Lepisosteus oculatus: one gene and its partner. The protein of the gene in region 2 purifies or fractionates together with the protein of the main gene of each other region. This does not show direct contact. Links are inferred from orthologs where the notes say so. Each region holds a gene or a part of one and is shown on either strand. Other genes may lie near its edges.

Evidence for each region. The genes of interacting proteins can lie anywhere in the genome.
Region 1: the proteins of nufip2 (region 2) and atxn2 purify together in Homo sapiens (affinity purification with mass spectrometry; 3 studies listed by BioGRID and IntAct, counting the BioPlex papers as one, with this or other methods). This does not show direct contact. The link is inferred for Lepisosteus oculatus from reciprocal best matches to the Homo sapiens genes NUFIP2 and ATXN2.

The regions. Positions count from the first base shown.
Region 1 is NC_090717.1:12,985,562-12,992,583, reverse strand, and holds the start of atxn2 (ataxin-2), read left to right. Parts: upstream 1-4,014; 5' UTR 4,015-4,547; coding exon 4,548-4,654; intron 4,655-7,022. UniProt on the Homo sapiens protein: Involved in EGFR trafficking, acting as negative regulator of endocytic EGFR internalization at the plasma membrane.
Region 2 is NC_090721.1:9,006,123-9,013,026, reverse strand, and holds the start of nufip2 (FMR1-interacting protein NUFIP2), read left to right. Parts: upstream 1-3,894; 5' UTR 3,895-4,745; coding exon 4,746-4,890; intron 4,891-6,904. UniProt on the Homo sapiens protein: Binds RNA.

The DNA.
Region 1 (7,022 bases), on a different chromosome or scaffold from region 2:
CTCATTTCAGTTATATAGTTCAAACCTGTTGAAAGAGTACTGCTCTCTCTGCGCTGTCTTGTGAAAAGCACGTTTGTCTTGATTTTCTCAACAGTGGGGGTGGCCTCTCTGGGGCATTGCTGTGTTTTACATACTATATTCTGCAGGAGTCCACATTTATTTCCCAAATATGACTAGATCCTGTTTACCTACATCTCCTGCTTACAATGGCCACCTTCCCTGGGTCATCCGAGTCACTTTCTGGTCTAAAGAAATCAAAAGGCAAGAGTTATTAAGACCTTTTTTTCTTTCTTTCTAATATTCCCTTACATTTTCTCAGTTTTGTTTCTCAGGTTCCCTGCCATGGTGTTTATACAGGCTCTCTTAGTTCAGATGGGGTTTTGCTTTCGAGTTCGGGTGGTGGGGATGAGGGGTGTGCCGGGGGGCTCCCAGGCAGCGTGGACACCCCCGGCACTGGAAACCTGAGCCCCAGCTCAAAGCAGAGCAGAGGGGCCAGCAGAGCACCCCTCCGCCATCGCTGGGGTTGGGGCTAGCTTTCTTACCAGCGCCCCGCCAGGTCAGAGCACCTCCGCGCCGCTGCGCAGCACCAGCTCCCCGGCCGGGCGCTGGGGAGGAGGCAGGAGCGAGGAGCCCGTCTGGCCCTCCTCGTCCTCCCTGGGCTGGACTGGAGGTGGGGTCCGAGTGTAGAGCTAATTCGCCCTTTATAACGAGTACATTTGAATTCTTATTCACGCCTGTACTCTCAGCGTACAGACGGGTAAAGAGAACAATACTGTTTCTATTTAAGCCAGTACTACAAAATAATAATAATAATAATAATTAATAATTGCTTACACTTATATAGCGCTTTTCTGGACACTCCACTCAAAGCGCTTTACAGGTAATGGGGACTCCCCTCCACCACCACCAATGTGCAGCATCCACCTGGATGATGCGACGGCAGCCATAGTGCGCCAGAACGCTCACCACACATCAGCTATCTGTGGGGAGGAGAGCAGAGTAATGAAGCCAATTCATAGAGGGGGATTATTAGGAGGCCATGATTAGTAAGGGCCAATTGGAAATTTGGCCAGGACACCGGGGTTACACCCCTACTCTTTACGAGAAGAGCCCTGGGATTTTTAATGACCACAGAGAGTCAGGACCTCGGTTTTACGTCTCATCCGAAGGACGGCGCCTGTTTACAGTATAGTGTCCCCATCACTATACTGGGGCATTAGGACCCACATGGACCACAGGGTGAGCGCCCCCTGCTGGCCCCACTAACACCCCTTCCAGCAGCAACCTTAGTTTTTCCCAGGAGGTCTCCCATCCAGGTACTGACCAGGCTCACACCTGCTTAGCTTCAGTGGGTTGCCAGTTGTGAGTTGCAGGGTGATATGGCTGCTGGCAAAAGAGAGTATCTTCCAGTATACAGTAAGATACAACACACAGTATAGAAAACAATATACAATTTACAGTCTTGTATGCAGTGTAAAAAAATACAACATTCTACTGTAGGCGGTAATTGATAGCAGTCAGTCTGCATTTAGCTGTTAGTTAGCCTGAGTACTGTGGGCCCAAGCCAGATGCTTGGAAATCTGCAACCCTAAGATACAAAGCAAAGGTTCCCAATCCTGGTCCTAGAGGCCCACACACCTGGTTTTCATTCCAGCTGCATTTAATTACTTAATTGAAGGCTTAATTGAATTAAATAAGGTGCTTGATTGGAATGTTTGCGGTGCTCTCTAGACTCAAGAGTTTGGAATTTGATTTGAGTTAGGAAATGCAGTAGTTAAAAGGCTACCTCCCACAGGGTAACATCTGACAACAGCCACACAGTTCAGATTAATCCTGTGTGATGAAGTCCATTACAAATCCAATCATGTAACTGACGACGAGGATGAAAGAACAACCCCCAGGACCGAGGCTGGGAACCGCTGGTGTTAAGAAGCTCCAAAGTGTGTGTGTTTAAACTTAAAAATGACCGATATGTGTGTGTGTGTGTGTACAGGGAGGAAGGGGGCAAAATCCGTTTGTACGTGTCGCAGCGCACAGCGTTCCTAATTACTGAGGACACTGACATGGTGCAGATTGTACTAAGGCATCAACCTGGTGGCCTTCACACGACGGGTGTAACAGAGCACACATTGTGAACAGCTGTTCCCTGGTTTTTTTGGGGGAAGTGTGGAAATAAACTTTTCAAGAGTGTGGTGTGTCGTTTTAACCTGTCTGGCTATTTTTATTTTAAATGCAGTGTAGTGTGGCACATTACAGTCCCCGAACAAGTCGACAAAGGAATGTGTGGTTGTGTGATGTGAAGACGGCTACGGTACACCCCCCTCTCTGATTTTACACCAGTAAGAAAGGTATGGAAATGAGGAGAGGCTGCCCCCCCGGCCTCAGTACAAGCATCTCATCTGCAAGAAAAGGCTGAATGAGATCCTTGGATTGATTCATCCAATCAGCCCTTAAGCCCTTTGTATAAGTACCCTCTTCTACCCTCGCCTTTCCCGTTAGGTGTATTTTCATTTCTTCTACCACCTGCTTGTGAGACCCTGCCCCCATCTGCATTAAATGTGTCTGCCCAGATACAAACTGTCCCTAAGTGCTTTTTGAAATGTTATTTGCTGCTTCTTCAAATGAGGGTTAAACTCTTAACCCAGCTGGACCAAACACTAGCCCACCTCTGGCTCTCACAGCTTCTGTATCCCGGCAACACTCGCCAAGAAGGGGCGGGCCACTGTTAACGCCCCATCTGTTTTTGCCCACGTTGCTGTATTAGAAAGTACGAGTTGGCTCTTGTCAAAACGGCACCGTCAATAAGCCACATGCGACATGCTGATGTCTTGACTCACTCCTTGAGTGTCTCTAGCTGCCCCGTGCGGCTTCACTGAGCTCTTGATGTGAATAGAGGCTCCAGCCCGCCTGGAGGTCTGGGCCGAACGCGCTCGTGTGGCCCTCGGTCAGACTCGCTCTCCGGGGTCCCGTCTTCCAGCGGGAGACCTCCTCAGCCCCAGCGGCCTGTGAAGACTCCCACCCTGCCTGGAGGTGAACGCTAGGGTATCGGCGTGACCCAGAACCTCTAGGGGGCGCCCTACCCTCGGGTCCACTGTTTCCAAACCAAACCTTCAGTGTGGCTTCAGGGAGCACTGGGACGGAGGAGGTGCTGACCTCCGAACGAGACATTTAGCTCAGGTCCTGACCACCCGTTTCCCCACTGCTTTATCCACTGCAAGGTCATGGGGGAGCCCGAGTCTCTCCCAGAAAGCTCGGGACACCCTGGGTGGGATGCCGGTCCATCGCAGAGGTCCAGACTGCTTGGGCATAACAAAATTCTCATTTTTGCCTCGAATTTTTCAAAAACTTTAAGGGTGTTAGTGCCAGTATCCTGAATTGAAGCACACCGGTCTCTCGTACAGTCTGGTCTCCCTGCAGTCTCCCTTAATGGAACTGGTGATGCGGTTTCTCATTCCTCCCCCTGAACTGATGCGATTCAGAGGAGAAGGAACTGGTTCCTGTTGTGTGGGAAGCGCTCCGGGATAATCCACAGGGATGAGAAGTACTATATGCAAGCAAGGAATTATAATTTAAAGTGACATGAATGAGAGATGACTACGCAAGTCAAGCTCTACCTTGCAATAAATATGCACATCCAGCCCCAGCCCTGGAGACGTTATTCTAATTGGGGATGTCACTGACAGGTAACAAATGAAAGCGGGTCATACGGTCAGTAAAGACCGAGGATATCCGGCTTTAGTCTGCACACGCAAAACAATAAAAATAAAATTAAACCGGGGGAGAGGGATCAGTGGACGCTGCCAATTCGTGAAACGAAAAATGATATAAAGTGTTGCTAATTTTATGCAAACCGGTTAGAGAGCCGTGTCATTAGTGAGCTGTCTTTGCAGCTACAGCGCACACAGGCGCGCGCGGACCCTACCCGCGAGTCCCGCTGCCGAGCCTCGCGCCGGCTCACGTGGTGGTGGTGGTGAGGGGGGGGGGAGCGGGCGCACCACGGCCACAGGACCTCGGTAGTCCTCCGACTTCCTGTAAATAGTGCGCCGGCCCGCAACGCCGGCCCCGGCGTTTAAACCGACCCCCAGCTCAAAACCCCTCTTCCCCCGATCGGGTTCACTGAAAACCCCAGGCAGGCTGCGCTAATCTGGCCCCCAGGAGAGCTGTTAGGCGGCTGGAAGGGGAATTTGGTGGATGTACGCAGCATTGCGCCCTGGATATATCCCTCCGCTGTTTTTTGTCTTCTCTCAGACTGTTTTGGTCCCTTCGCTGATAGCAACGGAGAGAGACGCCGAAGAAGCCGAAAATCCTGTCTGTTGTCGCTAAAATACAACACAACGGGACAGGAATAACGCTTTCATTAGCTGAGGATCATCGACGTACTGTCTTTTAAAGAAGAAATAGTCTGTATTTTTTAATTGCGAAAATTAGTCGTCGGTAGTGTCATCGTTATTTTAGTTGTCTCTTTTTTTTTTTAGGTTGTATCCTTTACCAGACATTAGCCGATATACCGTTAAGTACGTTGTTTTTTTTTTTATGGGATCATCGTCATGTCCATGAAGCAGGCCGGAGGTAACCGAAAACCCGGCGGCGGCCCCGCTGCGGCCTCTGGTGCCGGGGGAAGCGGGGGAACCGGCGGACGGCAGAGCCTGGGCAGGTCGGTGCTTTCAGATCCCTTGACACCCCGCCGGCCGTGTCCCGGGAGCCGCGTTAACGTGGGTTGCCCGGGGGGGTTTTGAGGTTTGGGGGGTGCGAAGACGTGAATGTCTGTTGAAATAAATGTGAATGCTCGGGCCTAGCGCACCTTTCCGGGCCTCCTGCAGCAGCACGCAGCCTTCGGCTTTTTTTTTTTTTTGTCGCTGGTCAGCGTTATTGAAATGCCTCCTCGGTGGGAGCCGTGCCCCACGCCGGCTGGCGATTTCGCTGCGCGTTTGCCGTGGTCGGGCCCGGCCCGAACCTGCACGCCTCGCCTGCCTTTCACGGAGGTGTGTCTGCGGGCGGGACGTGAGCCCGTAGGCTGGACCGGTCCCTGCCCGCGGTGGGGTAGCGGGCGAGGGCCGGCGTGTGCCCGCTGTGTGGCGGGTTGCAAGAGGCTGCGTGCCCGGGGCGGCTTCTGCGGAGCCGCGGCGTCGGTCGCAACCGGACCTTCAGCATCTGGTGTGTGTGTGTGTGTGAGGACGAGAACCGGCACGGCCGTGCAGTCGGTGCGCTTTGCCTTGGCCGAGGCGTCAGGCGCTGTTGCGTTGCGCACACCGGCGTGAGAGCTTCACGTTTGAAGCGAGGGGCCCTGCTCCGCGCCCAGCCCTGTACCTCTGCGGCAGCCCGGTAGCCGTACAGGCCTTTCCCCACCCCAGCTAAGAGCTGTTAACTCTGCCCCCAGTGTAGCCAGCGATGCCTTCGGGGGGAGCCGCCAGACCCGGGCCGGGGCGCATCCGTGCAGCCGGAGCGGCCTTGCAGAGTTGCCCACCCCCCCATTTTAAATCCACTCGTGGGCCACATCCCGGCTGCGATCCGGGCTTCCCCTCTGACGCCGCCGTCAGTGTTTGAACGGGGTGCAGTGTTTTCTAGCGGCTTTGCCCTGAATCTGCTGGGTGGTGGGTGGGGAGACTGACCTGTGCTGCAGGTTTCGTGGAGGAGGGCAAGGGGTACCTTGAAGCGTCTTGCTGCATGGGCCTGCTCTGGCTGGTAACCTTTCATGCCGTTTTCCGCCTCGTTTTGTCTGTGCAGTGTTACCTTCTTCTCTACACGATGCATTAACAAGTGTGTATCGCTGTGTGAGGGAGGTGGGGTGGATTGAACAAATTACACTCGTGAATGGAGAGGCAGACCATTTTTTTTTTAAAGGAAGGTGGAGATCCTGTTGCGAGCGCTATTCCGGCCGATTTCAGTGAAAGCTGATTTTTTTTTAGAAAAAAAGGGTTTTCGGCAGCGGCTTCTGTTGTGACCTTCTCTTGTGCGGAGGAATAATGTTGGGGTTGCGTTATTGCTCACAAGTGGCGTTTTGAATCGTGTCTGGAAAAATGACTAATGAAGCTCTCTGCAGTAAGGTCTGGTTTGAATTCCCGGTCAAGGAGTAGACACGGTGATGTTTTCATCAAGTAGTTTAGATCAGGAACTATTAACCTATTGAGTCAACAAATACCTTTACTGAGCTGATAAAAGGGCGCAGCTGAAGCCCTGCATTTGAGTGCTTTGACATGAATGCTTTTAAAGGTGTAGTGTTAATATACTGTGTCAGTGGCCCGGTTTTGAGCTTTGCCTCCAGGAAAAAAACCCAGGGCGCCGAGTTGGGGTACGTGGGTGTACCTGCTGGGGCTTATTGAGTGGGCGAACTTGTGTTCATTGCTGAAATGGAGAGCCTTGCTTATCCTTACAGGTTCTTGGGGAGGCTGTGGAGAGCAGCTGACAACTTTCACCTGGTTTGTGTGCTTAGGGAATCGGATTGATCAAGATAATGCCTGGTTTATGCACTATTTGTAGTGAACTTGATTTCGATTTTATTTTACTGGGTGGCATGCTTCTGGGCAAACGCCTAATGAAAAAAATCAAAGGACGTCACTAATGACTGGTTTTCAGTTTGTCCTTGAGTAATGTTAATATACTATAGTTAAAATAAGATTAAGCCCTGTACTTCCATGTTAACTTCTTTTACTGAACTTCAGAATAATGTTGGAGGGGTTATTTCAGTGGTACTGTATCCCCATACATCACAGTTTTTATGTTTCTCACTTCTCACAATGATCAAATTTCCAAAGGCACTTCAAGGTCATTTTTATTTTTATTGGTGTTGGAATTTCGTCTCTAAGACGCTAAATTGGGATGTTTTAATTTAGCCAACCAGTCCATTGGAGTGGGGAGAAGCTCAGTTTCTAAAGCTGGAGCTAACAGTAGGGTTTTTAAAAATGACTTTAAAGGAGCACTTGACTATGCATTAGAAGCATTTTCTTGGTGATGCATTGTTTTTAAAGCTGTCACGTCATAATAGTTTAATAGCCATGAAGTCTAATGAATGGACCATAAATACA
Region 2 (6,904 bases):
GGCAAAAAGTTCGATTTTGGTTTCATCTGACCAGAGCACCTTCTTCCACATGTTTGGGGTGTCTCCCAGGTGGCTTGTGGCAAACTTTAGACGAGACTTTTTATGGATATCTTTGAGAAATGGCTTTCTTCTTGCCACTCTTCCATAAAGGCCAGATTTGTGCAGTGTATGACTGATTGTTGTCCTATGGACAGACTCTCCCACCTCAGCTGTAGTTCTCTGCAGTTCATCCAGAGTGATCATGGGCCTCTTGGCTGCATCTCTGATCAGTCTTCTCCTTGTCTGAGCTGAAAGTTTAGAGGGACGGCCAGGTCTTGGTAGATTTGCAGTGGTCTGATACTCCTTCCATTTCAAGATGATCGCTTGCATAGTGCTCCTTGGGATGTTTGAAGCTTGGGAAATCTTTTTGTATCCAAATCCGGCTTTAAACTTCTCCACAACAGTATTACGGACCTGCCTGGTGTGTTCCTTGGTCTTCATGATGCTCTCTGCGCTTTCAACAGAACCTTGAGACTATCACAGAGCAGGTGCATTTATACAGAGACTTGATTACACACAGGTGGATTCTATTTATCACCATCAGTCATTTAGGACAACATTGGATCATTCAGAGATCCTCGCTGAACTTCTGGAGTGAGTTTGCTGCACTGAAAGTAAAGGGGCCGAATAATTTTGCACGCCCCACTTTTCATTTTTTTATTAGTTAAAAAAGTTTCAAAAATCCAATAGATTTCGTTCCACTTCACAATTGTGTCCCACTTGTTGGTGATTCTTCACATAAAATAAAAAATTTATATCTTTATGTTTGAAGCCTGAAATGTGGCAAAAGGTTGAAAAGTTCAAGGGGGCCGAATACTTTCGCAAGGCACTGTATACTGTCGTCTTTCCTAAATTCAAGCACCTGTGCAGCGAATCGTGACCCTCTGTGAGATGGAAATTACTTTGTGCAGTTTGCAAGCTGTTATGGAAAGCTGCAGTGCTTGAAGAAAAGTTTGGTGATGAACAAACCAAAGAAAAAAAAGTCACCCCTTTCTTGTGTGGAGCAAACGACTCCAAAACAGAAATTCTTCACATTAATTCAGTGCATTGAATTATAGATTCAGGGCACTGTGGTCCCTGAGAACTGAGAGGAAGTAAATTTGTATGCAGCAAAACACCAAGCTCAGAAAGGGAGACTGCAAAAACAACAGTGTCCTGCAAGGAGGCCTGGATCTGAATTTGTTGTGTGAATGCCAGAATTATTATTTTTTCAAAAATTATGTTAGATGGTTGTGATTTATACATGAGCCTAATTTTTACGTCCTTTTTATTTTGTTTATGTTTTTTTGTTCCTCTTCTTTAATTACAGGCGAAATCAGCTTCTTCTACAGTCACCAGGGTTGTGAAACCGCCAGGAAGGCGGCACGTCAGCAGTTTCCGTAGAAGCGAGGGGGGCCGCCAGGAAGCGCAGTTACAACCTTGGCCAGCAGGGGGAGTCTTTCAGTCATGCAGCGGTTTTTCCATCCGTCCTTCTAAAATCTGAAATCAATTATTATTCCTGGGAAAGGTTGCAGCTGCTGGAGCTTATCCCTGGGTTGGGTTGTTTTTATTATTAAAAGCAATTAACCTGTCATTTCTGGTGGTTATAATATAGAGCGTGTGATGTTTTCCCGAGTTTAACTGTATCAGACAGATACAAGGAAACTTCATTCGAAATTTCGTGCACACACAAAATGTTTTAGCAAGTGAATATACGCTAAAGTGACCTACTGTGGTGCAGTTAAGTTGAACTAAGTCAGGTGATACCGGGTGGGGCTGCACACTGGTGGTGGTGGAGGGGATCCTCATTACCTGTAAAGCGCTATATAAGTGTAAGCAATGATGATGATGATACTGATGATGATGATGATTATTTTCTCATTCTGATATCTATAAAAATCTTCGTATTACAGCCTCTAGGAGGCAGTAGAGGACAGCAGAGCTGTTGGACCGCAGGGGACAGGTGCTGTACCTGCAGCGGTGATTCATGTGCAGGTGAGACCGTACTCTGGGTGTGAGGAATGCGGGCGCCGCGGAGCATGGAGATTGTGCAGAAGGGTTTTGAAAAGCAAACAGCCAATACGTCCTGTATTCCAGGATGTTCTGTGTGAATCACGATTGTCCTCTCGCCATGGAAAATGCGCTCTGTTTGTTTCCTCAAAACGCCTGTGCTGCTCACCCAGTATGAACTCAGTGAAGGGTGACTCGTGGCGTGACACAGCGCCGTTTTCGGCTGCTACCATTAGTTTTCTTAGCATGTCTTAGACCTGCTTATGTTTTGAAAATCGCATCCTTGCGATTGAACCTAGCTATAATGTACTAACAATATAGGCAGGCAAGACCCACATTTAAATAAAGCGTGGATGTCTCTCTAAATGATGGCCCTGCCTATGAATGCCGTTATTTCACAAGAGCGTCTCCTGCCGTTTGGAAGCGCAGCTCTGTGTAACTGGGTGTCGGACTTCACAAAAGGGGCGCCCCTTCTAAAATTCACCCTACATTCACGGGACGCGCCCCCGCCTCCCATTGAGCACGCCGAAGAGTTTGTTCCGGCAGAACGAGGGATCTTTCATTAAGCTTCGCCCGCGGTGCCCCAGCCCGGCATTCCCCGAGCCTGACGACCCCGCTCCTGATTGTGTGTGACAAGCAGCAGGTGCGGGCCTGGTTATAATGGGAAAGGGGGTGGGTGGTGGCGTCTTAGATGTCTCTACAAATAGCTGTTCCGGCGGACCGGACTAGAGCTGCAACTGCTTCTGCAGGATCGTCGTCCTCGGTATCCCTATACCTTCCTAGCGCTCTTCAGCGGCTTCTTTACCATAGCCCTGAGCACTTGAACTGTTATTAAACTGTTCGCTCTATATAATCGTGCCTTTTAAATATGATTATTGGATCATCGGTTCATAAGGGCCAAGTAATAGGTTTATTCATAAGGGCTACTGCTAATGTGATACCGCCGGACCGGGGCGTATTCGGGAAAAAATATTAACTAAGGCAAACATGTTGTTTAAAAATCTGTATACTCATTATATTTATACACGTGTAATATAAACTTTCTCTTACTGGAACTGCAGAAGCACCCTTAAACTGCCGCTTCATTCATCACATTTTACTGGTATATAATCTGGTATCAAAAAATGACGCTACCCCCAATTCTGAAGAAGGCTCCACGGCCGAAACGTTGTTTTCTTTCTTCCTGTTTTCAGCATGGAATAAACCTATTACTTGTTCCTATAATCCTTTATTCTACTTGAAGATTGCCTTCAGTAATCTCATTCTGCGCCCTATTCAGAATTGGGCGTAGCGTCATTTTTTTAAAAGGATGTTTAAAAATGCTGAACTGAAATGTTTTTTTTTGCTGAAACATGCATCTTATTGCTCTTTAAATAAAGCAAAGCAGTTTCGCGTAGTTACTTGCTTACAATTCGCGGCGTCTTACAGCACCTGGGTGGTGTTTGAATCTAAGATTGTTCATATACGTCACAGGAGGAGAGGAGGAGCTGTTTTGTTTTTAAAGATTTAAAAGAGGAATTCTACCTTAAAAGCATTAATAGAGGGATGATTGCGACCCCTCTGCGTGTTATTAGCAAACCACCTGATTTCGAAGGAACTGCCGGTATTCGCTTAGTCAGCCACACGTGCTTAATGACACCCGAGTGATCTCTTTTCGTGGAGGAAAACCAACCTTTCTAAAAAACAAAAACCAGCATCTCTTCTCTGCGCTATGACAATTAGCCTATATTTTAACTTCGGTCACCTTGTCACAATAGTCCTTAAGTGCTATAGGTTGGAGACTGATTAATATACAAGAACATAACATTTAGAATCGCACGTATGGGTAATAAGTATAGATGCATGCACGCTGAAACACTTGTTTTTCAGGACTGTGTTTGGGGGAGAGGTTGCCCAGCGTGAGCGTCACGCTCATGTGACGAGAGACCGGGTCAGAAGGTGCCGGGTCTTTGTGAATACCGTACAGTAAAAACACGTTTCCGAAGGTGCTGGGCCAGTAAGTGAGTTGTAAGCCGGTCTATAAGAAGACGCCGAGACAGCCTGGGTCCCTTGAGTCATATACACGTGACGACGAGAAGTTTAAAAATGGGTTACCGTGTAACAGGCTGAAGTAACGTTCTGGAAAACTCGCTACAAGGGGGTGGAGAGACAGAGAGAGAGGAGGAGGGAGGGGGGGTTCAGGCAATTAAACTTTACACCTAAAATTGGGTGAAATGCAGGAATGCGGGCTGGGTACATAATGCACCCCCTCTCTATCAAGGTATTTAACTGCTACCTGCGTGTATGACTAAGTATCGAAGTAAAAAAAAATGTTAATATGACTCCGCCACCGAGCACTCCAAGACCGAGACGAAGGGGTATTTATTTTATTTAAAAGCATGTACAGTATGCATGTTCGGCGGGGAAGACCGTGAGACCGGCGAGGAACGTCAAAGCGAAAGAGCCCCGTGCCTGCACACGCTACACGCACGGTTCGCCTGGTGTGAGAGGAGAGCGGTGCCGACGGCGCTACTTCCACCGGCTGACTGCTGACGTTGATCCTCTCGGTCCAGCCTCTCGCCGGAGCGGCAGCAGCAGAGACCAAGCGAGGCAGCGCTGGGGTCGCGGCGTCGATTGGGTAGGGCCGCGGTCCTGCACCCCCCCCACTCTCTCTCGCTCGGTGAGCCCGGTGAGCAGTGCGCACTGGCCGGAGCCGGGGAGTCTCCTGCTACACTTCAATGGAGGAACAGCCCAGCGTGCGGGCACCTCAGCAGCGCTACCACCATGGAGGAGAGAGGAGCCCGACCCGGCCCAGGAAAACGCTGAAAAATGAGCCGAGCCACTGCCAGCACCACCACCAGGAAACGCAGGCGAAGAAAACAGGTCGGGTTTGCTTAGCTAAGGCCAGAAACAGCTGAAGATGGGGAATTATTTGAGCTGGAAGTTGGGTGCGTGAGTCTCCACTGTGAGACGGCGGAGGGTAGCTGTCTGTAATATGGAGATTGACCTTGTGCTGCCGGTTAGCAGCGATTCCTGGTCACTTTTTTTAGACGTATCTAAGGAGGGCGGACGCCGCCTGGCACGCTGGTTTACAGTAAAAGACTCTTTTCTCGAACTGTCTCGGGGTGGGTCGTGCGAAAGGGCCAGTTTTAATTGAGAAAATCGCGGGGTTTTGAGTGCTCGTCTCCCCCCTTACCAACACAAGCCGGCTCCGCTGGAATGTGCTTTTCCTCAGTTTACTCGGCTGCTATTTCCTGTCCGCCATGTTGGTAGCGAAAATCCCAGCACCGGGCTCTCAAACCATGACTTTCTACAGCTGTCGGTGCCGTCGTGGCACCCCCGGGAAGTTCAGGGGATTGATTTTCTCGTTTTGTGTGGTGAAAGTGGGCGCCAGCGTAGTATTTTACTGAGACCCCGGATCGCTCTCCTTGAGTCTGTGGGCCCTGTTGCTCTCTGCTGTTCCGGAGGCGGCGGCGGCGGGGGGGGCCTACAATCGGAGAGCCGGTGTTCAACAAAAATGCAGCAAAATACCCGCAAAGACGAATCTTCCAAAGATCCGATCAAACCAGTGTCGTGTTTTTAGTGTCCTGGGACGGTGTCCTTCCGTGCAAGGCCGCGCCGGAGACCCGTCTCCTCTGTCGGCAGCAGAGAGGACTTGACAGCCGCCCGCCCGGAGACGGGGTGCCCAGTCATTTTCGTTTTTCACGTAAAATAGGAAAACGGAACAGTAAATGAAAAATGTTTAAAATAAAGCCGCGAGTTACAGATGCACCTCAATGCTTTAAGATGGTTTTTTAGTTAACTTGGAGAACTGACCCAGTTTACGTTTTTGTCCAAAATTGGTAGCACATACTTTTTTATTTTTGGGAAGGTTGTTGTAGTCGATAATGAAATACCACGGGTCTCAGTTACCCTCTTCCCTCGTATAGCATCTTCATTTTCCTCGGGATATTTGCCCGTGTACCCGTTTTCGTGAGGCTGGTTGTGCTCTTATTAATAGTGGCCATGCTTTTGAGCTGTATGTACACATATATCATTCATAGGAAGCCGTGTGTGTGTATGTGGACACTTTTGGTATTTGGGGGGCGATTAATCTGTTTTAAATAAGCGTTTAGCCGACCAGGAGAAGGAACGTGTTGAGGCGGAAGAACTGCTGCTCGTGCAGTTTGTGGAGATCTCGCGTGCCCGAGAGCTCCGGCAGCCGGGGAAGCGCCACGCGAGGCGGAGCGAGCTCTTCCACGCTTCTTGGCAAATCCCAGCAACATGTTGCGGAGTCGCCTTAAGTCGCTCGCAAAAGCCAAACCGACGCGTAATGGGGATGATGGCGAAGCGGGGAGGCCGAGAACGCTACGCTTCGTGTAGTTTTTTTAAAAAAAACAAGTTGGCGTGAGGGCAGACGTTGAGTTCGTGTGCATCAGCACCACCACTCCTGAACCGCGGCGTGGAGAGGGTCCCACTGCGCCACGCGAACAGCGGGGAGAATCGATCACATGGGGTTTTAGTGGAGCGTTGCCCCTTTTTGTTTTCAAAAAGAGAACAGTTCTGGCGCCGTCACAGCACAAGATCAGTCAGATTATCACCATAGATCGCACATTGTTTTCCAAAGACACCACAGGCCCTCTCTCGCTCCTTTAAAGCTGCTTGTGGTGGACAGACTAGGGTCGCTTTCAGCGCAAGCGTGGGGTGGTTGTTCTCATTTCTACCTTCACCTTAGTCTTGCATTTGGCCTGCTGGGCTGGAGCGACTGGCTCACTCCTACCATGTCTAACACGTGTAGGGAGTGTAGCGTGCCTGTGAGCTCACTGGACAGCACGGTAATGGAATAGCACAGATTTGTATTTCAGTGCTAACTGCCACTAGAAAGATCCCCTGTGTATTGGATGGGACATAATCAGGT